Arabidopsis thaliana: one gene and its partners. The protein of the gene in region 2 interacts with the protein of the main gene of each other region in a pairwise test. Each region holds a gene or a part of one and is shown on either strand. Other genes may lie near its edges.

What was found.
Region 1: the proteins of AT1G71480 (region 2) and PRA7 interact in a two-hybrid assay, tested with the Arabidopsis thaliana proteins (one large-scale study listed by BioGRID).
Region 3: the proteins of AT1G71480 (region 2) and PRA8 interact in a two-hybrid assay, tested with the Arabidopsis thaliana proteins (one large-scale study listed by BioGRID).
Region 4: the proteins of AT1G71480 (region 2) and GAMMA CA2 interact in a two-hybrid assay, tested with the Arabidopsis thaliana proteins (one large-scale study listed by BioGRID).

The regions. Positions count from the first base shown.
Region 1 is NC_003070.9:20,584,491-20,591,039, forward strand, and holds PRA7 (PRA1 (Prenylated rab acceptor) family protein), read left to right. Parts: upstream 1-3,906; 5' UTR 3,907-3,959; coding exon 3,960-4,529; 3' UTR 4,530-4,709; downstream 4,710-6,549. Other genes in the region: PLDEPSILON (phospholipase D alpha 4), read right to left, coding at 567-994, 1,108-1,493, 1,577-2,958, 3,047-3,139; AT1G55200 (kinase with adenine nucleotide alpha hydrolases-like domain-containing protein), read right to left, coding at 4,819-4,917, 5,012-5,161, 5,284-5,431, 5,509-5,585, 5,661-5,821, 5,916-6,549.
Region 2 is NC_003070.9:26,929,041-26,936,080, forward strand, and holds AT1G71480 (Nuclear transport factor 2 (NTF2) family protein), read left to right. Parts: upstream 1-2,811; 5' UTR 2,812-3,038; coding exon 3,039-3,377; exon of another isoform or gene 3,378-3,427; intron 3,428-3,466; coding exon 3,467-3,581; coding exon of another isoform or gene 3,582-3,586; intron 3,587-3,661; coding exon 3,662-3,743; coding exon of another isoform or gene 3,744-3,747; intron 3,748-3,837; coding exon 3,838-3,889; exon of another isoform or gene 3,890-3,983; coding exon 3,984-4,046; 3' UTR 4,047-4,273; downstream 4,274-7,040. Other genes in the region: AT1G71460 (Pentatricopeptide repeat (PPR-like) superfamily protein), read right to left, coding at 1-1,276; AT1G71470 (uncharacterized protein), read left to right, coding at 1,746-1,884, 2,117-2,373; AT1G71490 (Tetratricopeptide repeat (TPR)-like superfamily protein), read right to left, coding at 4,286-6,331.
Region 3 is NC_003074.8:4,491,048-4,498,764, reverse strand, and holds PRA8 (PRA1 (Prenylated rab acceptor) family protein), read left to right. Parts: upstream 1-1,964; 5' UTR 1,965-2,996; coding exon 2,997-3,563; 3' UTR 3,564-3,786; downstream 3,787-7,717. Other genes in the region: CYP90D1 (cytochrome P450, family 90, subfamily D, polypeptide 1), read left to right, coding at 4-125, 351-435; PRA1.F4 (prenylated RAB acceptor 1.F4), read left to right, coding at 5,207-5,773; AT3G13700 (RNA-binding (RRM/RBD/RNP motifs) family protein), read left to right, coding at 6,133-6,414, 6,469-6,531, 6,610-6,691, 6,780-6,854, 6,942-7,014, 7,105-7,147, 7,305-7,420, 7,533-7,602 and 1 more. UniProt on the Arabidopsis thaliana protein: May be involved in both secretory and endocytic intracellular trafficking in the endosomal/prevacuolar compartments.
Region 4 is NC_003070.9:17,317,086-17,326,875, reverse strand, and holds GAMMA CA2 (gamma carbonic anhydrase 2), read left to right. Parts: upstream 1-3,391; 5' UTR 3,392-3,528; coding exon 3,529-3,643; intron 3,644-3,791; coding exon 3,792-3,935; intron 3,936-4,195; coding exon 4,196-4,321; intron 4,322-4,423; coding exon 4,424-4,575; intron 4,576-5,192; coding exon 5,193-5,492; 3' UTR 5,493-5,975; coding exon of another isoform or gene 5,976-6,458; 3' UTR 6,459-7,305; downstream 7,306-9,790. Other genes in the region: TLP6 (tubby like protein 6), read right to left, coding at 28-48; AT1G47265 (uncharacterized protein), read right to left, coding at 2,078-2,308; PAF2 (20S proteasome alpha subunit F2), read right to left, coding at 5,976-6,458, 7,306-7,656. UniProt on the Arabidopsis thaliana protein: Enzyme involved in the catabolism of H(2)CO(3) but that does not mediates the reversible hydration of carbon dioxide. Mediates complex I assembly in mitochondria and respiration. Binds HCO(3)-.

The DNA of each region.
Region 1 (6,549 bases), 6.3 Mb from region 2:
GACATATTGAATAGCATTGGACTGTAATCTCTGAGGATTAACAGAGTTGTTACTCCAGATCTAGAATTGAAGCGGTGCTGCAAAGATGCAAGTTTCCAGTAGTGTGAAGCTTCTTGGAACAGTACACGATGAAATAAGGGAGATTTGTTACTTAGCCATTAGATGAGCTTGGACACGGATAGGAAATGATTCTTCTTCAAGCTCCATTCCGGTTCACCTTTTAGACATTAGATGTAGAGATCCAGTCTGCTAAGTCACGTAGCATTGTATGCTTTGCATAAATATTAGCTGTTGAAAACTGCTCGTTTCATGTATATACAGGTTTTGATTATTCTTCTCCTTGTTACAGGCGACAAAGCTTGAAAAGACCATTCATCTACAAGTTGGAAACGACAAAGGGACCGGAATGGTTATAACAGAAACCAGTAAGTGTGTTAACCACTAAATACATCCTCTCATAATCAAACATTTATATGCGTATTTCATCATAATTAACAGGCTGAATGTTATTTATATATATGTATTGCAAGTTATGATCTAAGAATGATTCTGATTCGGACATTTTTTCAGGTGGTTAGAACAGGAGGAAACATCTTGGACCTCTTTCCTTTCACCAAGGTCTTGGTATCAGGAAAGCAACCGTCACCGACTTCCTCAACTGCACCATCTCCTGTCACACTAATTGGATAGGCGACCAAATGGATACCGAGCATGTCTACGACCTTGTCTCCACTGTAAATCTCCCACATTTGCTCTCCTATTGTCCGTAACCCTCGGACACATTCAAGACTCTCTGGCTCTGACGATGATAAGTCATCTGCCGTGATCTTGCCACCGGTATGCTCATACCAGAGCGATAACCGGTAAGCTTGGATTTCGTTGGTGTTGTTGGTATTGGTTTGGTAGCAACCTATTGCAATCTCGGTGTCCCGACAACCATCCATTGATCTCTGGTTTATATTGGCTGATCCTATCAAAATGTATGTGTCGTCCACTACAAACATATGACAATCTCTGTAATTTAAATCTTAAGTGAAAGTTTGTGAAAGTTTAACGAATCTTCAATATATTTTCATTTCAGATTGTGAATTGCGGATTGTTTGTTACCTATCATGAGCTTGGAGTGGACATAGACCATGAATCTCCGATTCCTCTGCGCATTCCAGTAATGCGTTTTCTGGTGGGGCGACGAAACTGCTTCAAACTCCCCATCTCTCTTCTCTTCTCTGTTTGCAAGACAGAAGAAGTTTAGATAATCCCTCGGATGCGACTTGTCTCCAACTTCCCATATCGCCTCTCCAATGATCTGATACATCATTGACATCGTCTCTCTCGTCCAATGAAGTATCTCTTCAACCGTTTCACTCTCCGGTGGCCCTTCCGGCCACATCGGTATGACTATATACACAGCAAATCTCTCCCTTGCACGTATCTTAGCAGCAATCTTTAACGCTATTTCGACAGGTATCAAGTTTGTGCATCCGCTGCAGATTCTATCCATCAAAAAAAGAAATACTAAAATAGATCAGAATCTCCCAATGGATATTTAATAGCTTCGTTAAGAGAAATTTCGTACTTATCGTTCTTGCTCTCCCAATGATCACAGCTTCCCATGAAATACTGATTCTCGATGTAGATAAACCTCTCAGCCTTTCGAATTGCTGCGACATAGCCATCGTGTACACTCTTCTCTACCGGCAAACCTCTTGGCATCTCTGTTGCCGATATGTGATCTATCGATCTCAGAACTTGAACATTCCATTTCCTGTTATTTTCCTCAGTAGGTCCGGTTAGGTTTACTAAGTTTCTGATCCCTGAAGTGTTAACCAACACGGAAGGGTTACACTGTTTCGTCCATCGCTGTTCGAAGTTCTTCAGGACATCCCAAGCCGCTCCTCCAACCACGGACACATGGCAATCATGCCATGGCTCTCTTGGTCCGCCTCTACTTAGCTTAGCTCCAGCTACACTTGTCTGGTAAAAATCAGCTTCTGTTCCGAGTGTACGAAACAGTGAATGCTCCTCAGTGTCATATCGACCATCGCAAAGGTCAAACCCGCCAAGGAAGCTCATGATCTCTCGCTCCTTCGTGCTTGAATTTGTCACCCGTGTATCCAGTGTTATTGTCTTTTGGTGGTGTGCAAACGCTGTAGGGAGCTTTTTGTGCAATCTTGGACACAATCTACAAACAACGTTTGTGTTTCTGAAGTAAGCAAGAGCTCTTTCGACGTTTGTTCTCATTACACCTTTGTTCTTGATCATTGGTAAAGACGTCTCGTCGTTCCACAACATTACTCTCACCGCTACACCTTCCTCTGATTTCCGTTTCAGAAGCTCGCCAACCGTTACTCCAACCGCATGTGGAATCTCAGTTTCGTTGTCGCGTACAAGAACAAGATTAGGGTTTAGTGCCCATCCTGCAATGTAAACCAAGTGCCTAGCACTTTCGATCGCTTTGTAAACATCTTCCCATAGATTCCTTGCATTAAAAGGAACATCATCAACCCTTGGATCAAATGTGGCCTTGTGGTGTGCATCTTGATACAGTACGACTCTGCAGTTCGATCTTTGAGGGAAGCTTGCGTTCCTAATACCTTGAAAAGACGCTTCTTCAAGCGCTCTGCACCATCCCGGTTCAAGATAAGCCGGTCTGAACCACATCAAACACTTAAGCTTCAAGTTACGTTTCGTTGACCCATTGTCTGCAATCAGAGGGAAGAACCCGTTGATAACTGCTGAATTAGATGTCAGGATCTGTTCTGCAGAGATTCGGAATCTTCCGAGAACAGAACATCGAGTCTTGAGCGTGATGGTGATAGTCGTGTCAGTAACCGGGTGAGCGCAGAGGATCTGAAAAGTCTGATTCCAAATACGGTCGTATTCTGAGCTTGTTTTAGCAACTTTCTTCTTGTTTATCTTGATGGTCACGTAAGCTGCTTTTGGCTTTGTACATATACACTGTGAACAAAGATAACAAAAGCTCATGAAAATGAACACAATGATAACATCATCAGAGTCACTAATTCAGTATATGATATAGACTTACATTGAAAGGAAATGGAGGAGAAAAAGGTGTTGCATCGAAGATTGTAATCTCTAGTGTTCCATGAAAGTACTTCTTCTGTTCTTCAAGCTCCATCTTCTCTTTATTCAAAATGTATCTTTAAGAGAATGAGAGATAATTTTCTGTGAATTGTCAAGTATGTGTTTGAAGCTGGTCAATTACAGAATGCACAAGGTTATGTCCATCCATATATGTATATGTATTTGTTAATGTTTTTGGTGAAACTTGTAGGATTCTCCATGGACAATCTTAAAGAAAACATTCAACCATATAGATGACAAAATCGAAGGTGAAGTGTCTTTGAATACAAATCAAGCATTCGACTTCGGTTTTTAAAAATAGGAATTTTAAAAAGCAAAGTGTTAGATGGTATTCAAACAAAAGGTTGGGACTAAAATGTGAAAGCATGAAAATATCTGGTGGAGTTTGTAAATATTTGTGGGGATAAGCCACGTGCAGCAACAAAGCGCTGCCAAAGAAACCACTCGGTCGCAGTTTCTTTGGTGAACTAATAATATGAAATTTTTATTCTGCCGGAAAAAAAAATTAATCCTTCTAATGAATAAAATTATGCTGTTTACAAGTAATTAATCAGATTTATGTTTTGAAAATGACAGAGAATATAATATGCTGTACATTTTCCTAAGAATATGTCTCTATGATGCTGACTGTTAAACACATATAATACCAATATTGTTACCATAAATGTACAGTTGCAAAACAAATAAAAAATTATTACAATATAAAGCATTTATGTATTTATTGGGCATGTAACAACTTTTATCCATATGTGACATTTACATTAGCACCATCACCTAATCCATAGGGACACTGAGCAATTTATAAATTATTACAACCAACAAAAAAAAAAGCTTCGTGTCTCTCTTCTCCAAAAATGACGAACTACGGGGCGATTCCGACGTCGTCTCATCCATCACCGGCGATAGATCTCGAATACATCTCACGCGCCAAACACCGTATAAAATCCGGTCTAGCTACGCGCCGCCCATGGAAATCAATGTTCGATTTCGAATCAATGACTCTCCCTCACGGTTTCTTCGACGCGATCTCGAGGATCAAAACGAATCTCGGCTATTTCAGAGCTAATTACGCCATCGGAGTTCTCTTCATCCTCTTCCTAAGCCTTCTATATCACCCAACCTCGTTGATCGTGTTATCAATCTTGGTCGTCTTCTGGATCTTTCTCTATTTCCTCCGTGACGAGCCTCTTGTTGTTTTTGGTTATCAGATTGATGATCGGACGGTTCTTATTGGTTTATCGGTTTTGACGGTTGTGATGCTTTTGTTGACTCACGCTACTTCGAATATTCTGGGATCTTTGTTAACCGCCGCCGTGTTGGTTCTGATTCATGCGGCGGTTAGAAGAAGTGATAATTTGTTTCTTGATGAAGAAGCTGCGGCGGTTACTGAAGCTTCAGGGCTGATGTCATACCCTTCGTCGTAAATCCAAAAATTTGTTTTTTTTTTTTGTATGTTACTGAGTTTGGTGCGATTTGAGAAAACTTGACATGTTCTTCTACTTTGTTCAATTTGTTGACAACAGTACAATTTTTGAGTATGTTTTGTTGGTTAATTACGTTATTACATGATTAGCACTACAAACACTAATCACTTTGGATAAAGCTACTAAAAAACCATAATTGTCAATTAAGAGGACTTTGATTTTACAAAATTCTTCTATTGATCCTACGCACTATACCAAAAGAAAGTGATCAGATTGGCTAGTTGAGCTTTTAGTTATGATCTCTGAGACCTTTCTCAGTGGATAGTCTTCCATTAAACCTCCCTGAGATTTCATTCATTAACATATCTCCTTCCAATAAACGCAACACCTTCAACAACAAGCAAAAGAGCAGACACACTTGAGAGAGTTTTATTGACTTAAAGAAATGAACATGTTTCAAGAATGGTGAATCTTTTCTTTACCTGAGACATGCGAGGACGCAAATGTGGATCTCTACGTATACACAATGAAGCTGTATGAATCATGCAAATGACTTGTGTTTCTGAATATCGCTTTTCGAGCCTCGGATCAACTAATTCCTCAACCGCATACTCTTCTAATAAAGATCTTGCCTGCTCACAAAGAAAATAAAATAACAAAATGAGCTTCAAGAAAGAAACTTTTAGATTTCATTTACAAGAAGAGACTGAAAATGAGCTAAGAAACCTTAAAAAGAAGAAACTTATGGATTTACCCATTCAGTTAAACATTGTTGTCCCTTTGGTCTGTAGATATCCATTGCTTTACGACCCGTGATTAGTTCGATCAATACAACCCCGAACGAGTAAACATCGGCTTTCTCTGTGATTTGTCCACTTTGAGCATACTCTGGAGCTAAATAGCTAAAACAAGAAACACAGAAAGTAGTTGAGAAATTACTCTAGAGTGAGAATGATGATTTAGTTATAAATTTTGTTACCCGAAAGTTCCTATCACACGCGTGTCTACACCTAGCTCTCCATCAGGCTGCCATCTTGCTAAACCAAAATCTCCAACCTGAAAGAGAAACAAAAACAGAATCAAACGAATGTATAAAAAAGTGTAAATTGTGGTTCAAGAAAATATAAATACCAGTGGTTCATAATCATGAGTAATTAGTATATTGTTAGGCCTCATGTCTCGGTGAACAATGCAACCTACTCTACACTCTTCATGAAGATATCGAAGACCTCGAGCCGCTCCAACCGCTATTTTTTGTCTTGCAGGCCATCCCAAAGTGTCCTTATGGCGACCTAAATGGACATTTCATGAAAGTTAGTTAGATAACTCTAGTTAAGTGTTTTTTAGGTTAACAACATCTTTAACTAACTTGGAAACTCTATTTACCGTATAGATGAGAGTCTAATGATCCATTGCATATGTATTCATAGACCAAGAGTCTTCTGGTATCTTCGATGCAGAAACCGATTAACATAACTACGTTTCGATGCTGAGCACAGCTCAAAACTTCTACTTCAGAGCAAAACTCTACATCTCCTTGTGTACTGGCCACTTTGTGTTGCTTTACTGCTACAATCTGGCCTTCAGGTAATACACCTCTATGAACAGATCCAAATCCACCTTCTGCCAAAAAATTAGCTCGCGAAAACCCGTTTGTTGCAAGCTCTAACTCTTTGTAGGAGAAAAACCTCGGTGGTTTTCCAAATACAGGCGCTTTGTGCTGGCATATAGAACAGAGAGGAGGTGAAACAGGAGGAGCATTTCGTGATAACGCTCTTAAGGTTCCACTATACTCCTCCAAGTCTTTCCTTTTACTTGACATAGCTGCTTCTTCTCCTTCATCAAGCTTAGAAATTTTCTCAAGCAAAGCCTTTTTAGTAGATACTTGAACAGCCTTATCATCGCCTCTCGTTGATTCCTGCATCGAGACGCAATGAGTGCTAAGATATTCTGATATCCATGGTTGGAATCTCTTACTTAAGGAAGGTAGTGATAGATTTTCGCTCTCTGAATCAGAATC
Region 2 (7,040 bases):
GAAGAACAGTAGCAATTGTAACAACATCTGGCCTAAAACCTTCCTGCTGCATCCAAACAATCGACCTCAAAGCTTGATCAAATCTACCGTTGGCTGCGTATCCAGACATCAATGCAGTCCAAGATATGGCATTCCTCTGTTTGGATCCATAGAACACACGTCTCCCAGAAGCCATATCCCCACACTTGCAGTATAAATCAATCAAACCAGAGTGAACAAACGGCTGTTCCACGTAATTCTTCGATTTCAATACATGGGCATGGACCTCCTTCCCCAGTTTCAGTGCCTTAACATCCCCAAGTACGGGAAGAATCGTTGTAAGTATAACTGAGTTTGGATATATCTTTTCTTCACTAATCATCGTCCTAAACAGTCCCAACGCTTCCCACTGCCTTTTATTGTGAGCCAATCCAGCAATCATCGCCCCCCAAACAACTATATCTCTCTCTACAATCTCATCAAAAACTCGACGTGCAAGCCCTACTTTACCACACTTAAAATACATATCAACAAGAGAAGTCTTAAGAAAGACACTATTAAACAAACCATTCTTAATCGCAAGTGCATGCGTCTTCAATCCCTGTCTCAAAGCAGATGCACCAGCAAAACTCTTAAACACATTAGATAAACTATAAACATTCAAATCAACACCAAGCTCTCTCATTTCTGTAAACGTAGAAAGAACATCTTGATACCGCTTCTTCCCTGATATAACAGTCCCTCTAAGCAACGCATTCCAAGAGTAAACATTTGAGCTAGTACTTTCATCGAACACCTTCTGTGCATCTTTAACCGAACCACAAGCAGTATACATATGAACAAGCTTGGTCCTTAGAAACTCATTACTCTCCAACCCATTAATACGTATATGAACATGGACTTGTTTACCGTGAAGCAACGACTTCCGGCGAACACACGCCTCTAAAAGAGCAGAGAAAGTTGTCGCATTTACAGGAATCCCTCTCTGTTCGAGATAATCAAGAATCGTGAGAGCGACTTCGAGATTGTTCTGCCTCGCAAAAATTTGAATATCTCTGTGGATAATGTAGGGGTTCTTGGAGTGGAGAGGAAGAGAAGAAGGGAAAGCATCTCTTTCCCTAAAAGGTTTCGGCTTTTTGGCGGGAGAAGTGGAAGGTCGTCTAGTTCTGCTTGGTCTAATCGGAGATTTCGCCGGAGCGCCATCTTTATCGGAACGATGAGGACGGTGGTTGAGACTCGTCGTCACGGAGAGGGACGCCGGGAGGTCTCGGATTCCGAGAGACGACACTACTTCCATTGTGACCACTAACCACTTGATTAAGCTAAAGGTCGTTAGTATTTATATGTAGCTTTAAACTATTTTTATAAAGTATGCAATTGAAATTGAAAGCTAATATTTGGGCCAGAAAATTGAAATATGGGCTTAGGGCCCCCAAAACAATTGTAGCCCATCAGTTCACACACGGTTTCGTTTTTAAAAAAAGCATGTATTTAGAATTTATTGGCTTTTATTTTGGTGGTTGCTTCAATCTTCCTCGTTTAAAAACAATTCATGTCAACTTGGACAAGTTACAAAAAAAACGTTTCATATTTTTGTCACTAAAAATATTCAGTTAAATAAAGTAATTGACTCTTCGTTTTCCCGACGATACTGTATAAATAAACATCATGTTTCTACTTGTTCACATATCGACTCTTTGTTTGTCCGATTCTATCTCTCTCTTTAGAAACTTTATCTAGTCTCTTCGAACTTAATCTTAACGACGATGGTGCCGGTTACGATCAACTCTCCACCTAAACCTGAATCATCCGAAGAAGAACTCAGCGACTCCCAAGTTTCCAACTCATCGGAAGACGACGACTCAATGGAAGACGAACCATCAGACTCTGAAAACAACAATGGAGGTACATGCATGCATCACTCTCTATTTTATTTCAGATTTTTCACTTCACCATTTCACATGTTTCCACTGTAAAGAAGTTGGAGCGTTTGTTAAGAAATACTTTGCATGTTCATGTTCTGTTTGACTGTGAGGTTTCAAGATTATTACGTTGATATAAAAATCTTAAAAGTGATTAAGATAGTTTTTGTATCGTATCTTTAATACTTTCTTAAAAAAAAATCTTATGTCAATAGTTGTTACAGAAACTGAGGCTAATGGTATTAAAGATGAGTTTTGGGCTCGGTATCCATCTTTGAAGATGTTTTTAAGTAAGGAGATGGTCAAAGAATTTATTTCTGAAGAGTATATTTTGGAGAAAGGTAAGCTTATTGGAGATAATAAGGCCAAAGAATTGAATGAAAAATGTGAGGTTTTGTTTATCAAGGAGATAGAGCATCTCATCAACAAATATCGCTTCATGGCTGATGTTTTGGAGTTGTTGTTTTTGTGAGAACTTTTCGATAGTGACGTGCATGGCTTGAGTTTGATTTTCTCGTTTTTATTTATGTTATAATTATTGTGTTCCATCTATGAATGTAAAAGATTTATGAAGGATTCGATTTTTTTCTCTTTTTTTAAAGATTATTATAAACGTCTTTCATAACCATCTCTTTATTCATTATATGTTCAGGAGTGAAAAAACAAAATCTAAAAAATAGGGTTAAATGTTTGCTTAGCTTCTCTCTTTATGTAGATTTGAGAACCGATGAACAAGAATTTACTGAAAATATATCATTGATCTAAAAATTATGAAAAACAATTCAACTTTTTATCCACCAACACATATTTTTCTTTACTTTTCTGTTCTGCTACGCATTACCTAGTCTTATATTTCGAAAAATTATAAAATCTCATTTCACAACTAAATTAAAAGTATCATTTCACAAACAAATAAGATGAAATGATGATAGAAAAATCATCAATTAATAGGAAAGAGGATTGGAGTATACTTCTATTGATTGTTACAGTATCCACATGGCATCGATAATCATAGGGACTACTAATAAGAATTTCTGTCCACAAATTCCAATTGAAATTCAAAATTCAACTCTTTGCTCTCTTAATCACAAACACAAATGAGCCACAAAAACGAAGACATCATATCAAGAAACGACGATGAGCTTCACTGCTTCTCTCGTCTCTTATTTGACGTCTCCCTCACTCGTCTCGCTCAACCATCTTCCTCCTTCCTTCTTCCTCCCAACCAAACTTGTCAAGCCAACAAGCCTCACTCATTCACAGCCTCCGAGATTGTCCGCATCCTATGGTCCAGCTGCAAAAGCTGCTACAGCCAACGACGTTGTTCCAGAAACAGCTCCGACATCAGCGTCGGAGGTCGTCTCCAGCTTCTACGCCGCCGTTAACGTCCATGATTTATCCTCTGTCACAGACCTCATCGCTCAGGACTGCGTCTACGAGGATCTCGTCTTCTCATCTCCCTTTGTTGGCCGAAAGGTGAAACGATTATTATTCTAATAAACCAAAGTCTCTTCTTTTCAGACTTTGTTGTGTCTCAGAGCCTAATTTTGATAAAGCCATGACAGGCAATTCTTGATTTCTTCGGAAAATTCATTGAATCAACAAGTACGGATCTCCAATTCGTGATAGATGATATCTCAACAGAAGACTCTTCAGCTGTTGGAGTTTCATGGCATTTAGGTTAGTTTTTAACAGACTCTTTATGATTTAGTCGTCTATGTTTCTCTAATGATAAGTCGTAAATTGGAGATTTTTGACAGAATGGAAAGGAAAGAACTTCCCATTTAGCAAAGGTTGCAGCTTTTACCGGTTAGAGGTGATTGATGGGAAGAGACAGATCGTGTAAGCACACTTTTCTCGACAGATCGTGTAGACTGACAGAGATGCCAATTTTTGTCTTGCTGGGATAAACATTTCTTCTCTGTTTTGTTTGCAGATATGGAAGAGACTGCGTTGAGCCTGCAATCAAACCTGGAGAAACAGTTCTGGTAACATGAGCTACTATCAATTTTGATTGTGTGGATGTGTTTGAAATTGCAGAGGTAATGAAGATTTAACAGCTTTTGCATTTTGTGTATTCAGGCTGCTATAAAGGGAGTTACCTGGCTGCTGCAGAAATTTCCTCAACTGGCCGACCAATTCTGATGGCATTACAAAGCTCTTGCTCGATGAAGTGAATCAGCTCACAATATAAGTTTTCTTTGTGTTATATAGGAAAAATACTTCCGCAGCAATCCCCACCATTGTCCAATTTTAGTTAATGTATATACTAGAACTTGTCATGTGTATCCAACTTGTTCTCAGTCTGGTGATATGCAGGCGTATATAGACTATGTGCTATTAACTAAATAAAGCTCCAGTTGATCATCCTCAGCTCTTCACCTTCATCCCATTTCTTGAAGAAGTTCTTCATCTGAACTTTGCACCTTATTGATGGCATAACCAGCATTGTCTTTCATCAGCTGATTCAGTCCATCTAATAGAGGATAAGTATTACATGCTTCAGGGCTTGATGTGTCCCCCACCGAAAACAGTGAAAATCCAGAATCTGTGTCGATCCAAGCACAGCCAGGATCCTTTTTCACACCCAAGTCCCTCATTATAGTCCTCACTTCAGCAAGCTTGCTCCAAGAACCAGCAGCTGCATACATATTTGCAATTAACACGTAGTATCCCGGGTTCTCTGGCTTCATCTCCAGGAGCTTTTCTGCTGCCCATTTACCAATCTGTGTGTTCCCATGGATGTGACACGCGTTCAGTAGGGTAGCCCACGTGGCACCGGATGGCTTATATGGCATATTGTGAATTATGTCTTTGGCTTTTGCTAGGAAACCTGCTCTGCCATAGAGATCAACCATACAAGAAAAATGTTGAAGACAAGGACGTATACCATACTCACACTGCATCTTCATAAACAGCCTTTCACCTTCATGGACTAACTTGGAATGACTGCAGGCTGATAGAACTGCAACCACGGTTACATGGTCAGGTTTAATACCAGATCTGGTCATCTCCTTGAACAGGGCCAAGGCTACTCCCCCTTCACCTTGATTTCCGTATCCATCTATCAAGGAAGTGTATGTTACTTCGTCTCTTTTGCTCATCAAATCAGATACTTGCTTTGCAGCTACAATCTTTCCCGATTTTGCATAAACATCAACAAGGGAGTTCCACAGCATTGTATAGTCCTTGAAGCACTTGCGCCTCAGGATGTAGCAATGAAACTCTTTTCCATGTTGCAGGTTTGCAATCCGAGCACAAAGAGGGAGAATGCTTGCTAGTGTAATGGAATTTGGCTGAAAGCCAGCAACCAACATCTCCCTCAGCAGGTGAGAGGCTTCTTCTGATTTGTTCAGCTGCGCATAACCGGAAATGATAGAGTTCCAAGTACACAAACTATTTTCTTCAGTCTGTCGAAACACTATTAAGGCGTGCCTAAGGTCTTTGCATTTTGAGTACATTGTGATCAACGTGTTTCGAACATTGTCAATCCCATCATAAGAACTGTGAATAGCAAGACCGTGAATCTCTTTTCCCAATCGTATTGCTCCTATGAGAGAGCAAGCCTTCAAACCAATAATCATAGCCACAGGATCTAAGCTCGTAGGAAAATTTCTCATCCTAGAGATCAAACCCAAAGCTCCTACATAATTTCCTGTTTGCAAACAACCTCCAGAAATAATATTCCAAGTTATGACACTGACCTCAACACCTGAAAACCACATTTTATCGAAAAGCTCAAACGCTTCACTCCACATGCCTTCCGAAGCATAACAGTTTATCACTGCATTCCATGAGACAGCATCCCTTTCAAACATTCGATCAAACAACCTCCGAGCAATACCCATATTTCTAAACCTTTTATACATAGAGATCAATGCATTACAAACATACAAGCTGGACTTGTAAGAGCTAACCTCGATGGAACCATGAACCACCCTTCCAAAGGCAACGTCAAGTGTTTCACCACAAGCCTTAAGAACAGACGGATAAGTGAAGGCATCGGGTCGGATTCCCTTGCTCACCATTCTCTTGTAAGCAGCAATAACCTCCTCAAAAAGCTCGTTCTTGGCATACGAAGCAATGAGCACATTCCAAGGTAAGGGATGCAAAATGTCAGAGTTCTCAATAATCGATTGAGCTTCATTGTGGAGATTGAAAGCAGAGTAAAAGGTAACCAGCTTTGGGACTAACACAGAGTGATATTCGACACCCGACGAAATACAGTGAGCGTGAACTTGCACCCCTGCTAAAAATGCACGAACATCAACGCAAGCGGATAAAAGGGAAGCCGCGGAATGCAAAACGAGGTCATCTGAAACTGCAGAAGAAGATTGAAGACGAAGAAGAGAAAACGTTTTGAAAGCGTCGTGCAAATGACCGTGGCTGGCCAAATGTCCAAGAGATTTGAAAAGACTCTCACTCAGCATTGGTTCAATGTGGGTTTGGAAAGTTCTTGGAACAAGACTGCGACTTTTTCCATAATCTGGGAATAAACTTGACAATGTCGGCTATGGTGAGACCTCCAAGAATATACGGCATATACTCTGTCTAACAACACCATGCCCAACGCGCCATATTCGAGCTCCACAACAAAAAATATGCTTCTCTACTTGAGATCAAAGCAGAATAAGACTACAAGTTGAGAAAACTTCATTGAAGCATATCATCGAACACGTGGTGTGCTGATTGCTGAACCATACTATATACACATTTGAACCCTAAGAGCTGAGAGTATATACATAGCAGAACCTATATGATTGAGAATAACGAAACAGAGGTAAGAGAGAGATATTGGAACAACAAAGCAAAGCGGAAGAATGCGCGCGAAAAAACGCAACAAGAGTACGAGACTCTGAAGATGAAGAGTGAAGACAACTCCATGCCAAATTTGCTTGTCGGTTACTGAATTTATGAGCCTTTCTCCTAAGGCCCACATTGGCCCAACTGTTTACAAGGCCCATTGGGGCTAGTTTCCAAACAAAATATCTGAAGAAGTGAGGCGTGTTGGCTAAATAGAGGCCCATATAAAAAAAGTGTGGCTACCATTATTCTTCTTCTTCTTCGTTATCCACTTCTCTCTCCTTTGTGTGGTCAAATGCATTTCCCTCCATTCTCTTACGCTTTCTCTCACTCTCG
Region 3 (7,717 bases), on a different chromosome or scaffold from region 2:
TAGGAAAGGGACATGAACACGAGTAGTTTCAGTCCTTTTGGAGGTGGTCAGAGATTGTGCCCTGGTCTCGATTTGGCTCGTCTTGAAACTTCAGTTTTTCTTCACCATCTTGTCACTCGCTTCAGGTAACTATCAGTTACATGGATACAAAATTATTTAATATTTGTTGTAATCTTTAAATTTCAAAACAAACAAGAGGGTGTGGTAATTAGTGCTCTACACTTTAGACAAAATGGTACGTTCGGACCAAATAAATCTAAATGTCTAATCTCTTTTTGACAAGTTGGACTTAACTCTTAAACGATATACAGAGACTTATTTGAAAATATGTTGGTGATTATGATATGCAGATGGATAGCAGAAGAAGACACAATCATAAACTTCCCAACGGTGCATATGAAGAACAAATTACCCATTTGGATCAAAAGAATATAAATCATTTTTCTTAAGTGAAAAATGGAGAATCAGTTTTGCATTATCAAACTCTAAAAGGTTAAAGAAGTCACACGAGTGTTTTGTAAGTGGGAAGTGAAAAAGATAGTGAGACAGCAAAAGGTAAGAAAAAAAGAGAACATGATGGAGTTTGGAGACAAAAAATGATTCACACGTGTGGAAGACGATAGCACACATGCCAACTATTTTGTCGTATTCCTTCACAAGGCAAATAAGGACAGAATCACAAAACCTTTTTGTTGACCGTATATATATATATATATATATATTTTTTTTTTGAAGTACAAAGGTGTATGATAATTATGCATATGATATAGAATCCTAATTTTCATGACTATTTCCTCTCTCTCTTTTTTTTTTTTAAATGTTAAGGACGACTATTCCTCTTCGTATATTAAATTATTAACTAAGAAAATCATTACAGAAAAGTTATAATTCTGGTTCAATCATTTATATATTTCCAAAAGAATGGTCTAATAAAGATATTATGATAGTCTACATCTATTTCAAGCAATTTTACAGTTTTTTTGCTAAATATGTTAATATCATTAATAATGAAGTTGTGGCGTTACAAAGAAAACCAGTACAAAAGCAACTTTGGCAAAAAAAGTAAAAACAAAGCTACAATAGATTTAGGAAATTTTTGAAGACATTAACGGATCCAGAGAAGCATTAGCTTACGCCAACGCTTCCTAAGCAATTTTACAGTTACTAGTTATTTTTTTAATTTTTAACTGGGTGATGGTTTTCTCTTTTCTGAATAGTCTCTAATAGTTTTAGATGTAATAATGAATGATTAAGCAAAGTCATATTATTTCTCCTCCACTTATATGATATGATGTAATTAACATAACAACCCACTGAAATTGATTTAAACAACGTGACAAGACAAGAAAGTTGTGTTGTTTCAACTGAACATCACTAACAACCAGATCTAACCACTAATTGTACTATATTACATTTTTCTCACTATTGTAACTACGAGTTGTTTATGTTAACACAATAGCCTTTAGAATTGATTTGGATAAGAGGGCTTCACTTTTAAGAGATCCATCCGTTAAGCCTGTTAAAGGCCCAAAAGTTGCATAATAGAAAAGCCTATATATTGGCAAAGACGGGCAACTGTTTAGGCAAATAGGTATTTCTTATGTTATCGCCGCCGTTGAGCCTTTTCTTGTTTTTATTCCCTATTTTGAGTTTTTCAAGACCTTGATTTTCATTTATTGTTAGTTATTTCTCGTTTGGCTGATGATAAGTCCAGCCCGAAATTCCGTTGTTATAGCTTTTTTTTGGTGAAGTTTGCATGGCCATGGAGAACACTAACTTTTTTTTTCATGTAAGTAGACAATTTCAGAGATACTAATCCAAGAGATGGCGGATACGTTTTACAATCACGAATCTTGTATGATCACTAACCATTGGAACAATAAGAGTATATAATGAGTATATCACCATTTAGTTCTAGTGGGTGGTGATCATATAAGATTGGTAATGGTAACAGTGAAACATATCCCCCATCTATTGGGATTAATTAGTCTCCCTGAACAGTCGTGAGAGAACCTTTGTTTGCTGCGGCAGACACTAGAGACTGTTGGAAGACCTTGAGATATACAAAAATGTAGAATTATTTTGAAAATAGGTGATGTGGATCTGGTACTACTTGATTTACATATATGTATTTGCTTCTCTGCTTACTTGTAACGAAAGCTACATTATATAATATACCTTTGATTTAAGCAATCTTGTTGAATAGGTTTCTCTGGTTCTTATGGAGAAAAACTTAAGATTTTTGTAATCCATCATACATTTTGGTATAGTTTTGATCTTATATGTATTGTGCTTTGACACAAGCTAACTATTTTCTTGTTTCACAGAGCGGGATCAATTCTAAAGCAGCCATGAGTCTGGCTCGCTAAAGAAGCCTATCGATGTGGATCGTCCAATGGAGAGAGAGCATGTGACATGAAACCTTCGTTGTATTGGGCCAATATCTTTTGTAATTGGGCTGACTAAAAATCATGATAAAGTCCGAGGGAGACTATAAATAATTTACTCATTGTTCCTGCCGACATTACACGTGGCGAAAGAGTAGTTATATGCCAGAGAGACTCCTCTAAAATGGGGTCACGTGTAGCCTGTATCGACTATTCAATAATGCCACTCTCGCTCGGTGACACCGTGTCTCTTACTTTATCATTAGTCTTTCAAATTAACTATATAGTCCTTCAACATGTAGTAATTCATCTACTTATAAATTGCTGTTACCCAAATCTCGAGTATCTAAAACTTATACTTTTCAGACATTGACCAAGTAGTGAATCAAATCCTCACGTTACACTATATTGTAATCTTTTTAAAACACGATCTAATTAAATTTTGTTTTATTTCATAAACATAGATTAGTTTAGAAAACGCCATATGCAAATGTGTATCACCTAATTCTTGGGACCTTTCAGAATTCATATATACACATAACAAACAGTCTTTTCATTTACTTTCTCTATTCAATCTCACACGCGCTAAACCATAACCCGATATTACTAATGACGAACTACGGTGCGATTCCGACGTCGTCTCATGCATCTCCGTTGGTGGATGTCGAGTCTCTCTCACGCGCTAAACACCGTATCAAAGCCGGGCTAGCCACGCGCCGTGCTTGGAGAGTGATGTTCGATTTCCACTCCATGGGACTGCCTCACGGTGTCTCCGATGCGTTCACAAGAATCAAGACCAATCTTGCTTACTTCCGTATGAACTACGCAATCGTTGTCTTGATCGTTATCTTCTTCAGCTTGATCTGGCATCCGACATCGCTCATCGTCTTCACCGTCTTGGTCGTTGTTTGGATCTTTCTGTATTTTCTCCGTGATGAGCCTATCAAGCTGTTCCGGTTTCAGATCGATGATCGGACGGTCTTGATTGTTTTATCGGTGTTAACCGTCGTTTTACTCCTGTTGACCAACGCGACGTTTAATATTGTTGGAGCGCTTGTGACCGGAGCTGTGTTGGTTTTGATCCATTCGGTGGTTAGGAAGACGGAGGATCTTTTCTTGGATGAAGAAGCGGCGACGACTGAGACTTCTGGGCTGACGTCATACCCGTCGACTTAAATCGTTTCATCTCGAAATTTGTGTATCTTTTCTATTTTTGTATATTATCTTGTTTTTTTAATTATGCGTAATCAATTTTTATTGGTGTGAGTTTGGTTTGAGACTTTCTCTCTCTCTTTTGTTTTCTGAGTTTTGAGCTCTGTCTGAAGTTTGAACAATTCTAATTTGTTATAATTTTTATTACTCCCTCTGTCCATAAAAGATAAATTTTTTAGGAAAAATATTTGTCTTACAAAGATAGAAATTTTATATTTGCAATGCAAATTTTAAAATTGTTTTCCCGTTTTACCCTTACTAAATAATTAGATAAATATTTATTATTATTTTTAAAATATATTAAGAGGTTAAAATTATGTTTATACAATATTTCTTAAAAAATGTGCAATTTCTAAAAAATTCATCTTAGTGGGACGGAGGGAGTATTTTATATTCGCAAAACTCAGGAATAATTTCTTGGAATGATTTATTAATCTGAAATATTTAAAATGATTTAATCTGAAATACATAATAAATAATCAAATTAATAAGTCAAACATTATAAATTCAAAATGGGTTGTAATGAATATTCCCTTTTTGCATTCCGTAACAAAAAAATAATCAATTTTTGTTGTAAAGTTTATTCAGGTTGGTTCACCTTCAAAGTAGGAAAAAAAGTTTGGTCTTGATTTAAGTTCTTTTTTCATTTGGGTCACACAAATGAGCAATTTGAAGCAAAAATCCTTGATATATATGCAGGCCTTATTCAAATTTCCAATGTAAAGATTTGAAGCAAAAATCCTTATATATAATTAGGTCTTTCAAAAGGCACAAATATTCTAGCCCATGTAATTCTAAACGGACGCCATTAGATATGTAAGAGCATCTTCATCAGTAGTCTTTCAATGAGATACCCAATAAAAAAAATATAATAAAAAAGGAAAAAGTAAGAGAGAAGGAAGAAAAAGTAGGAGAGAAGGAGAATTAAGTTTCTTGGAGGAGAAACTTTGAGAAACTATTCTCATTCAATTTGGACAGCTGTTATCCTATTATTAGTTTAACTATTAAATAACAATTAATATATCTGTCTTAATTAAAATATTAATATTTTAATTTTTTGAAAAACTTTCCTTACTGATGGAGATGGTCTAACAGTATTGAGCATACACATCTTTGTACGCGTCAGCTCCCTTCGCCGGCGCTTAATACCACCGCCACACTTGCCGCCAATTAGAAGCAAACCGGTTTAAAGTGGCGTATCACCAACATTACGATCTTAACTACGTCTATCGACATCATCCTCATCCCCATAATCTTATCCACTCAAGACTCAAGTACACTGGACGTGGCAGACCAAGTTTTTCTATTTAATTCTTCCAACTTCATATTCCAGGAACTCGATCGACTTTCAGACATTGACCAAATTGAATCAGATCATAACGCTACATCCTTTTATATATATATAACATCACGCTACATTATTGTAATAATATCACAAAATTTCTACGGAAAAAAACTCGGTCTAATGTTTTAACACACCATCTAATTTATTTGGTTTTATTCCATATGCAAATTCAAGAGACCTTCTTCATATATTATACACAGAGAGATAAAACAATAAATCAGAACAGTTTTACATTATTTCAATCAAGTCATCTTATTCACTAATGGCGAACAACGACGAGATTACCACGTCGTCTCATGCATCTCCGGCAGTGAATCACGAGTCTATCTCACGCGCTAAGCAACGTATCAAAGACGGACTAGCCACGCGCCGCTCCTGGAGGGTGATGTTCGATTTACACTCCACGGGACTACCTCACGGCGTCTCCGATGTTTTCTCAAGAATCAAGACAAATCTTGCTTACTTCCGTAGTAATTACGCAATCGTAATCTTGAACGTCATATTCTTCAGCTTGATTTGGCATCCGACCTCGCTCATCGTCTTTACCGGTTTGGTTTTCCTATGGATCTTCCTTTATTTTCTCCGTGATGTGCCTCTCAAGGTGTTCAGGTTTCAAATCGACGATCGTGCGGTCTTGATTGGTCTATCGGTGATTACCATCGTTCTACTTCTATTGACCAACGCGACGTTTAATATTGTTGCGGCGTTGATGGCCGGAGCTGTGTTGGTTCTGATCCATGCGGTGATTAGGAAGACGGATGATCTTTTTTTGGATGAAGAAGCGGCGACGACTGAGACTTCAGGACTGACGTCACACCCTTCGTCTTAAAACGATTGATCTCCATTTTTATGTATATTCTATTGTTTTTGATCATCTTATGTGTAATTATAGTTTATGGTGTAACCGTGTAAGTTTGGTTTGATTCTCTCTCTGTTTTTAAGTTTTGAAGTATGAACAAACTTAATAATGTCAAAGTCTTCGCTTCTTGTTTTTGGCGGGCTGCTTACTTTTATCACTTTTTGGCGCCTTATTGGGCCATTCATTAAGGCCCAATAGTATCAGCCCATAAAATTCAAAAAGGAACATATTTTTACATTTAAACAGTGTGTCTCACACTTCCATTTACACGTCAGCTCTCTTCGCCGGCGCTTAATACAACCGTCAACCTCGCCGCCGGCTAGAGGAAAATGGCGTATCACCAACCGTACGATCCTTTCTACGTCTATCAACTTCATTCTCATCCTCATCATCTTCCGCCGCAGCTGCCACTGCTCGCCGACGAACCTGGGGCGATTAACACTCTCTTTGTCTCTGGCTTGCCTAATGACGTTAAGGCTCGTGAGATCCACAATCTCTTCCGTCGTCGTCATGGATTCGAATCTTGTCAGCTCAAGTACACTGGACGCGGTGACCAGGTTTGTAAAAATCTCCAATTTCTGTTTTTTTTTATTCCCATTTTTAGAAAAGCTGTATACTTTGTGATTCTATCGATGTTTAAGCTTTCTGAAGTTACCTATCTTCAGGTTGTGGCATTTGCAACATTCACGAGTCATAGATTCGCCTTGGCTGCAATGAATGAGCTAAATGTAAGATTCACTTTGATCGAATTGTGTGACTCTATTGTTACATTGTGTTATTTGATTGTGGTGAAGCATTTCTTTTAGGGTGTGAAATTTGATCCTCAAACAGGATCAAATCTACATATAGAACTAGCTAGATCAAACTCTAGAAGAAAAGAAAGGCCAGGTATTTTCTAGACTTTACTCTCTTCTTACTATTGAGTTAGTGTGGTTGGTAAATCGATCAATGAGTAATGAACAGTCTATGTGGATAGGAAGTGGACCTTATGTTGTGATTGATAACAGAAACAAGGAAATTTCTAAGTCTCAGGATGACCAGAGTGATGAAGGTAATGTTCTGGTTACCTTGTGGACTCCTAATTATTTAAATGTATGAATGCTTTATGTTTCTGCTTGATCATTGTTGATGCATCTAGGGGATAGCGATCCAGATGAGGTGCAGGAACCTGGAAATAGCGATTCTCCAAAGGAAAACGATACTACCAAAAGGTTGAAAATGACAATTAGAAGCTTGGTTTTGTAGTTTTTTAGGTCAAAAGAAGAAGACTAATGTATTCTGATTTCTTTGCAAATTTACAGCGAAGCGGATTCTGAGCCAGATAGTAAAGCACCATCTGCTAATGTAAGTCCAAGCCAAAAATCTAATCTTTTTAACCAGTTGAGATATCTCTATTTCTCAAGTTCGTTGAAGATTAATAAAATCTTATTTGTTACTTACTGTAAGATACTTCCATATAGACTTCCTTATGGTTCAGTAGCTTACTGATAGATTTCTACAGGGGCACTTAGAGAAAGCATCTGAAGGAGGTTCTGGTGCTCGAGCTTGTTCGACCTTGTTTATAGCTAATCTAGGGCCTAATTGTACAGAAGATGAACTCAAACAACTCCTATCTAGGTAACCTTGTACAATGACTGAAACCTACAGCATTAGGGTTTGAATGTTTCTTCAAACAATCATTGGTTTTTGCCTTTCCGAAAGTCGATTGATCTGATCCATTTGCTTACAGATATCCTGGTTTCCACATTTTAAAAATCCGAGCTAGAGGCGGAATGCCGGTTGCATTTGCTGATTTTGAGGTATAAGTTGTTATACATGCTTTTGATTTTGTCTTTGTAGTCTATATACCCACTCTCACCAATTGCAGGAAATCGAGCAAGCTACTGATGCCATGAATCATCTTCAAGGGAACCT
Region 4 (9,790 bases), 9.6 Mb from region 2:
AAGAGAGGAAGAGAGAATTATTGTTACCAACAAAAGCGACAAATCCATGGGGAAGCACAATTATATTTCTGCAGATGAGATAAGTTTTTGGATTCTTCTTCTTCCGATGAAGACGAAGAAGAAGAAGAAAAATTCAGCGAGGAATTTGAAATTAAAAGCCTTCTCTTCTCGAAAATGTTAAGTTAAATGAACCACCAACACCAACACCTCTCCGATGCCGTTACTGTCGCCGTCGTGAGCTTCGATTCCGAAGAGGAGAGGAAGGAGGAAGACGACAGTAACCGCAATGATTTCGAGGAGGAAGAAGAAAAAGAGAAGACAGATGGGTTTTTTTCTTTTAATTAGTAAAACGGAAAAAGACTAAGCGCGGCTCATGTTTTTCAATTGAAATTAGTAAATTACTCAAAATAGGATTTTTTTTTTGTAAAACTATTTATTAGCTGATAATTTTTGCTTTTTTGAGAGTTAATTACAACTGGATTTTTTTAAAATTTTATTAATTGGCACGAAATATGATATTTGAAGGTGTATTTTAAATTTTTAGTAAATTTACAAAGAAATTAATAATAAGAAATATTACGTATCAGGTTATTTTATTGTGTATGTTAAATTGAATTATATGTAACTAAGTAAATACAAGAATTTGATGTTGTTTTTTTTTTTGCCAAAAGGTGTTGTTATTTATATGAAATATTGTACAAACATCCATGATACAGAGATGATATTACACATTACAAAGACGTCTATATAAAAAGATTGAACATGAACTTTTAAAAGACTGAATCAAGGTTCATGTACAAAACAGAAGGATCAGGATGCTAGAAGATCAACTACCAAAGGAGAAGGTAGAAGCCCTGGCAGCAGTGTTGAAAGACAAACATCTTGACTTCTCAATAAGAACAGGAAACGAAAACTAAGTTTCGCATCTGAACTTATAGCTTCCATCTTATGCTTATGTCAAGAGAGCTTCTTACTTACCAACGTATCAACCAACCATAAGTAGTAGTAGAAGATTGAAACCGTCCTATAAACCCTTCAAGTTTATACCCATCAAACTGCAACACTTAAAACTAAAAAGGACAGTAACTCGAAACAATCCAAGATAGATTGTTCAGCCAAAAGCAGTAAACACTAAAAGGAGTTATGATTCCTAAGCAGCTATAGACATTCCAAAAAAACAAACCTTACCCCAAAAAGTTGAATTCACAGAGTATAAGGGTAGATTATACTCACATTTGTAGACACAATTTTTCGAGATCTTATCCTCACAATGAAAACAAAAAAACTCATAGCATACTCTAAGTATCATGCAAATATTTTATTAGTCGGTGGCATCAAACCACCTAAGGCTCAAAATATCCCCTCTAGTAACCAACTTTCGTTACAAATTTCAGGATTAAGGCTCCAACTCGGAAAGAGCATATTCGATGTTCTCTTCAGCTCGCGACACATATATCGATTCCACCTCACAAATCACTCAAACCGAGCTCATCTCATGATGCATAAGTTGGGTTTACTTCGCAATCACTTGAACTAAGTCCTTCTCACGGCGTATTTGTCAGGTCACCTCGCAACTACTTAATCCAAATTCATATCCAACAGCATTACAAGAATATTAGTCTTCAAGCAAATAACCTTACTCAAAGAACTCAAGCTTATGTTGATACCGGATCGCGCACGACAAATCCATCTTACGCATCCAAGTTCCATCACTTTACAGAGCAAAGAATGTACATCTTGCATAAGAAAGGTGGTTAAATCTTGATATTAATTTGTGATTAAATTTATGAATTAATGGTCATGGTTTAAGGAGTAAACTTGCCATTCAAGTTTACGAATTAATTATGAGAGTTATTTTATGAGCTAGATATGTACCTAATGGCCAAATAAAGATACATAGGAGGAAGGAAAAGACTATAAAGAGAGGTGGAGACCCTAAGAAAAGAGACTCCATCTTTTTTTTTGTAAAATGGTTTTCAATGTTATAAATAAGGTCCAATGGACTATTTCCGGATTTAGGCTCATACATTTTCCCTTAGACTCAATCCACTTACATATAACCAGACTAAACCATCTATTACAAAACCGATCTAAACCGAAAGTTGAAAATCCTAATCTCATATCGTAAAACACGATCTGAGCCGCCGTCCAAGAATTGCAGAATCTCACCGGAACAGAAACCCTTTGGGGAGCCTAGACGAGATTCGTCGAACGGAGATGGTAATTCAGGATCCGTTGTCCTCCTGCCACCGTAGAGCAGTTTTGAGGAGGAAGAGGCGATCCGGGTTGCCATAGTCATGAATCTCATAGCTCAGTCGAGAGAGTTGACGGCAGTAGTGAGTAGATCTCAAGACCATCGACGGTGGTAAAGCCTCACCGAAGCGGAGTCGACCTCCCCCATCAAGCGGCGACCCAATGAAACCTCCAGAATCTTTAGACTTCCGACCTAACCGCCGTCAGCCCTTGTTCTTCACTGTGAAGTCTCATCCTTCCTCTCCGTGAAGCCACACCACCGATATAGCTCTTACCGACAGTGTCTCGCATAATCTTCTCCCCTCCACCAGGGCCAACTCAATATATTCTCTGTCACTGTACAAATTTTCAAATTTAGCCCTTTTATACTAAATATTTTGAGTTTGGCCCTTACATTTAGTTAAAATTTTATTATGGCCCTCAGATTTAGTCAAAATTATCTTTTTGACCTCAAATTTGATAAATTTTTTTATTTTACCCTTTAATTTTGATCAAATAATTTTTGGATCCTGTGCAATTGCTCCTCTTGCACTCCCCTAATGCCGCATTTGCCCTCCACTGCTCCCTTGATTTTGAATAGATTGAATTGCCGAGAAGATGTAGCGGATCACGGTTGAAGCACCATGTCCCAATGGGTTTCTTCGTCGCTGGAGTCAACGAAAAAACTTATTGACGGAACAAGAGATTGTGATTATAAGAAGAAAAAAATTTGAGAGAGAAATCGCCCACGCGTAAATATCACTTGCCCGACTTCTTTCTAGTATAACTCCAAGAAAAACACCCAAGAAACTCCATCTTCTACATTCTTGACCCCATTTTAGATACAAACAATGTTTTTTCCAATCCTTATACTAAAAACTATTTCTTTGCTTTATGCAATACTTCCAATATCCAATGCACAATATAAGCTAATATCTCTATTTTTATCTCTTTATTTTCTTTGCTAAATTATATTAATTATTTTACTCATTTTTGTGTTTGTCTCCTGAAAGCTTTGTTCCATCTCCTTACATTGCAAAACGAATCTATCCGGATTTTGTATTCACAATCTCTGTAAGTCCAACCAATAAATTTCGGTTTGGTTTAGCTTACCAGTTACCACTCCATACTCTAAAAATTTAGAGGTCAACAAAATAAACGAACTCACTCGAGTTAAAAAAAAAAATCCTCCCATCAATACGCCTCCATAAACCTCTCTCTATCTGGTGGAGCGACACCAAAAACAACAAAGCCTTCTCATTTTCACACTTTGGGTAATCGGAGAATCACAAAAAAATGGGAACCCTAGGACGAGCAATTTACACTGTGGGTAACTGGATTCGTGGAACTGGTCAAGCTCTTGATCGCGTTGGTTCTCTTCTTCAAGGAAGTCACCGTATCGAGGAACATCGTAAGCTTCCAGATCCTTCCACTTAATACTCTCTATTGAAACCCTAGATCCAATTCGTTATCTCTAATTTGTGTCTTCACCTTTGATTGGAGAAATTTGTGGCTTAGATTGAAAAAATTTGATTCGAGAAATTTGTGTTTGTTTTCAGTGTCGAGGCATCGGACGTTGATGAATGTGTTTGATAAATCACCATTGGTGGATAAAGATGTGTTTGTGGCTCCGAGTGCTTCTGTTATTGGTGATGTTCAGATCGGAAAAGGCTCGTCGATTTGGTATGGCTGTGTTCTTCGAGGTGAGGCTTTATTACTTCTAGAAAGTCTTAATGGCCTTTGGTTCGATAGAAGTACCAAATTTTGCAGCAGTATATTGTGCAAAGTAGTCATAGTTTAGTTTTAGGAAATGAAGTTCTCTTTACCTTCTAATAATCTTGTATCGCTGTTATACGTTACTGTCCTGATCATTGGACATAGATTTATTGTACTGTCGATAAAATGTGTCATGAAGTAGCTGTGAAACTTATTGTATGTTAATCTGGGTTTCTAACTTGTGCAGGTGATGTGAATAACATCAGTGTTGGATCTGGGACGAATATCCAAGATAATACGCTTGTACATGTTGCAAAGACCAACATAAGTGGCAAGGTTCTACCTACTCTGATTGGGGACAATGTAACAGTAGGTAAACCTTAAAAAGCGATTTATCAGTTTTGAAGTATCTGTTTTTATGTTGTGTTACACGATTGTTAGTTAAAGGTTTTGTTTGTAAAATGAAACGGAGCAGGTCACAGTGCTGTCATTCATGGGTGTACTGTTGAGGATGATGCTTTTGTTGGTATGGGAGCAACACTACTTGATGGTGTGGTGGTTGAGAAACATGCCATGGTTGCTGCTGGTTCTCTTGTGAAACAGAACACGCGAATCCCTTCTGGAGAGGTTTCTTTCTTTCCACTTTATCTTTTCTGGTTTACTGCTTACGGAGTTTGTGATAAGACTGGAACTGGAAACTGCTTTATTTCTCACTAAACTGAACGAGAAAATCCAAAGTATCAAGAACCAAAAATAGAACTCTAGCTAGGTTTACTTATCACGGACCCTGAAGCTCTACCAAGCCTAATAACGAACTGCTAATTAACCAAGTAATAGCAGCTGTAGTCTGCTGCATTTAGTCCTACGCTGACCTGTAGCTAAGGCTTGACCAGCTGAACTTCTTCAAGTAGATCCACTTTTGCTTTGCTTACAATTTAGTTGATACAGAATTAGTTAATGAAATGATATGCCTGTAAATTGTATTATATTTTGATCAAAAAGAAGAGTAAATAGTATTTATATATCGTCTAAATCTGAGAACCACCTTTGTTTCCGTTGCAATTCTACTTGTATATGAAACAAGGGTGAGTTGGGAGTAACAGAGGGTTCTTGTGTTTCCAATGTTTTATGAGGAATTAGACGGATTTCTTATATCGCTATGCTTTTGAACTACTTTCTTCAACCGTCAACCTGAGAATATATTTACAAGGACATATCTATAAGTTATCAGTTTCATGTGGCAGGTGTGGGGAGGAAATCCAGCAAAGTTCATGAGAAAGTTAACAGATGAAGAGATAGTATACATCTCACAGTCAGCAAAGAATTACATCAATCTCGCACAGATTCACGCCTCAGAGAATTCAAAGTCATTTGAGCAGATCGAGGTTGAGAGAGCGCTTAGGAAGAAGTATGCACGCAAGGACGAGGATTACGATTCAATGCTTGGGATTACCCGTGAAACTCCACCGGAGTTGATTCTTCCCGACAATGTCTTACCAGGTGGTAAACCCGTCGCCAAGGTTCCGTCTACTCAGTACTTCTAATTCCAATCTCAGGTTGTTTTTGTGTGTTGAAATCATTTCAAGACAGGATTGATTCTCTGGAAGGTCAAGAGAGATATTATTTTGGTTTTAACTTTTCTTCCGAGCAAGCAGGAGATTTATCATCCTTGCTCAATAATGTATGGTTGCATTATGAAGTCATTTCTTCGAGGAACAATTTGCAGAAAGAGAAACAAAGTTGGATTAATCTTTCATTCTTTCTCTCGCTGTTTCTCTCATTCAAAATGGTGTCTGTTTGATACACTCTCTAGGTTGGCGATTCGCCGATTATTATTATCATGTGACAGATTTGACTTAAGTAGGACTAAACATAAGCTAGTGGCACTCAATAACTCCTTGTTCCAAGCTGTTAAATAAACAAAGCCGAATAAAAACCACAATTGTACTTGGAAGTTGGAACATATCAAAGAGCTACACACAAGAAAATTGGTTAGAAAATCCAACTTTGAACTCATTCCCTCTTGCTCAAATTTCCATTGGTGCAACATCTTGATCACCTGAACCACCTTGTTCACCAGTTCCAGCAGCACCAGGAGCAGCTTCGGGTTCGGCCTCACCCTCACCAGCATCTTCCTCTTCCTCAGGAACCTTCTCAAACGTATCAATCACCTTTTGAATGCTTTCCTGGTCCAAGAAATGGAATGGTTCATCGACTCCTAGAACAGAAACAGTGCAGAGCGAGCTCTTCAGTGTTTCCCCTTGCAAAGTTTCCCTTATGGCCATAATAGCATCTTTTATCAGATCTTCTTTTGATGATTCTTGGAAGCTCTCGAATTTGCGCTCCAGATAGGTTTTCGCAGCTTGTGAACGAGACCCGATAGCGAATGCTTGATATTCAAAGTAGTTTCCGCTAGGGCAGTTGTAGTAGAGGTGAGCTCCTGACTCGTCCAATCCACCTACCAGCAAACCCACACCATAAGGCCGTTTCCATGATCGTTGGGTACATACCTGCTCAAAGATAATTTATGAAGATGTTTAATACAAGACAAACAAATGACTTAACATTTGAATGAAATCAGAGTGTTGTTCAAACTACAAGACTGATATCAATACGTTCTCAGAAATCAATTGAAAATGTAGATACAGCAGCTAACTTAATTTTTGACAGACATGAAAGTAAGTGGGACGTAGCAATCAAACCTTTTAAAAATTGTGAACACATCATCTAACTTGAGAACACTACGTTTAACACCAAAAGTAGTGAACATGTAGCACAAATTTCTATCACAACTGTAAACCAACATCTTACTGAAAATATACTTCATTAGGCAAGTAAATAAAGTGGCCAGGACATACTACAACTACAAGTAAGTAAACAAATGCAAAGTAATACAAGTCAAAACCACAAAACCAAAAAGAGATCAACAAAGACGTATATTTATTCTAGAATTGCAAGCAAAAACAACTCTATCAAGCAAAGAGAACAGACGATGACAACACAGAAACAACCAAACGACCAAAATCATCACATTCTTATACACTTCTATCGTCAAAGTGGGTATACAGGTTAACTCTTTCTAATCGGATTAAGCAACTAGCAACAGAACTGGATATGATTAACAACACAAGAATCTCTAATTCCCAATCACTAAGACTTGATCACAAACCAATATCACTACTTGCATAACAACACACACATTCTACAAATAAAATTGGCCACATTGCTAATAAAAACCTAAACTTTACTCCAATTACATAAAGCTTCAAACTTTCAGATACTCACACATCATAAAACTAAACCCTTTAGCAAATTCTAGGTCAAAATTCAAAAGTTAACCCAAAAATCTCAATTTACCTGAGCTTTATCAGCAAGATGAACAACAAGACGACCAACAGGAAGAGGAGACTCATAAGTAAAAGAGTGATTAATAGACTCAGATCTCATATATCGAGAGAGAACACGACCATCAGCAGTGAGACCAGCAATAGCAACACCAATATGATCATCGACTTTAAAGATCTTCCTTTGATGAGAAGAGAGCTCTGATTGTGCTTTGTTGACACAAGCGAGGACGACATGAGAGCGAGATCTGAGTCCTATTGCTGCGGAGCCTTGTTTCACAGCTTCCATGGCGTATTCGACTTGGAATAGTCGACCTGTGGGACTCCATGTTGTCACATCTGTGTCGTACTGGTTCCTGAACATCTTTCTTCTTCTTGTTCCTCTGTTCTTCAAAAGCTTTTCGTTTGCTTCAAGCTAGAGGAGGATGGTCTCTCTTATAGAGCTTAGAAGAAGAAAGTAAAGATTGTCAAAAAAAAGAGAAAGAAGACAGTAGAGTAAAATGGGCTTATGAAACTTAATGGGCTGGGTTTAATTATCCATTACTCTTTATTATTTTTTACACATTTAAAAGGATTATAATTTTATAAATAAATACTTAGCATTATATTATTTCTTTTTATAGTAATTAATTTAATTCATAATTTAACATTTGCAGTTTCAATTGGTTTTACATTATTTATTTACACATTTTTCACTACACTGATTATAAATTTACTATTCCCTCTGATCCTAAAACAATGATATTTTGGATTTTTCACAAATTAAAAAAAATAACTTTTATATTATTTTTATTGTTTTTTCTTACTGCAAACTATGTTTTAATCTATGAATGTAGATCATTACAGAGAAGGTTTTTGAACCAAATTGGCTCGTTCCTAAAGTCTGCTTTGAACACAGAAATCGTAAAAATTGGGGAAGCAAAATAGTCCGCTTAAAACACAAAAATCGTAAAATTAGGAAAACTAAATGGTGAGCTATACTATTACAAAGACGTTTTGTGAAAGTAAATACAATAGATGAAAATCTGAAGACCAATACTCTAAATCTAGAAGTAAATTAGCAATTTTACTTCTATTAGACTTGCCATTGATGGTTTTAATGAGGACTTCGCAATCTCTTTGGAATTGTACTTTCTTGTATTTTTGTATCCAAATTTGTTGCATCGCCACAAGTAACGCTTTCGTCTCAGCCTTTAGGAGAGTGTTGACATGATCTAAAATTGAAGATCCTCATGTGTTTGCTATCCCTTCATGGTCTCGTATAATCCATCCACCCGTACTTTAAGTACTATTCCTGTGTAAGTCCGCATCGAAATTGCACTTGACAAAAGAAACTGTCGGTTTTCTCCATGAAGTATTTTCCGATGATGGTGCTCTTGTTGTAGTAGTTTTTTCTTGCCTCCCTCTCGTGTTTATAATTCATTTATTATTTTTTTAATTAATTTAATAATATCAGTTCTACTTTTTTTCCTTTCTCTATTGATCACTAATGAAAATAATATTAATTTAAAACATCAACTTTTGTGAAACAAAAGTAAAATTTAAAACATCAAACTTCATGGACTAGAGGGAATTACAAGTTATTGTATTTTATTATTTCTAATTTTATGAAAATTAATAATTTAGCATGTGTAGTTTAAATTGGTTTGGAATAAAATTAATTTAGAAATCTAAACAAATAAAGTCACATGTTATTAGATTTTTAATTTGATATTTTGTTTTTGATAAAATCTTGTATTATTTGGTTGGAAACAAAGAGTATTAAAATTGTGTCAATTAGCTAACTAGCCAAATTCGACATACAAATTAGCAAAATAGTCATACGTCAGAAAACTTTAGTAAATAGTTTTTTCTTGGGGTGTAAAATAACCAAAATAACCTGGAAAAATAGACGGGAACTCGTGAGTTCCGACACTAGGTGTCTATATGTAGGGAACATAAACATGCGTAGGTAATGAGTAACCCGTTTTATTTATAAAACACACGCCATTTATATATGTTTTTGTTCCTGATGAGCCACATAACTTATAGATTTCAATTACCAATGAGAACATAAACATGCGTAGATAATGAGTAACCTGCTTTATTTATTAAACACACGATATATATAGATGTATTTGTTCATTTTTTTCTTAATTCTATAAACCACATACCTTTTAGATTTTACAGATGCATTTGATATTTAAACACTAACTTATATCACTAAATATGTCAAAAACGGACCATATATATATACAGATGTTTGCTTTGTATGCGACTAGTTATTCAATGGAGACTAACAGATAAAAAGGTCAATGGTAACTGTAACATAGAATGTTATTTAAAAACAACACATGTAATTCCTATATGCATACGCTGTATGAAAACAATGGGCGTGAGTTGGAAATTGTGTATTGGGCAATAAACTCGGCAAAGTATCAACTTATAGAGATCATACATTACATGCAATGTTTCGTTATATCAGTAATCATTAGTATGCAACTTGCTACATAATATGG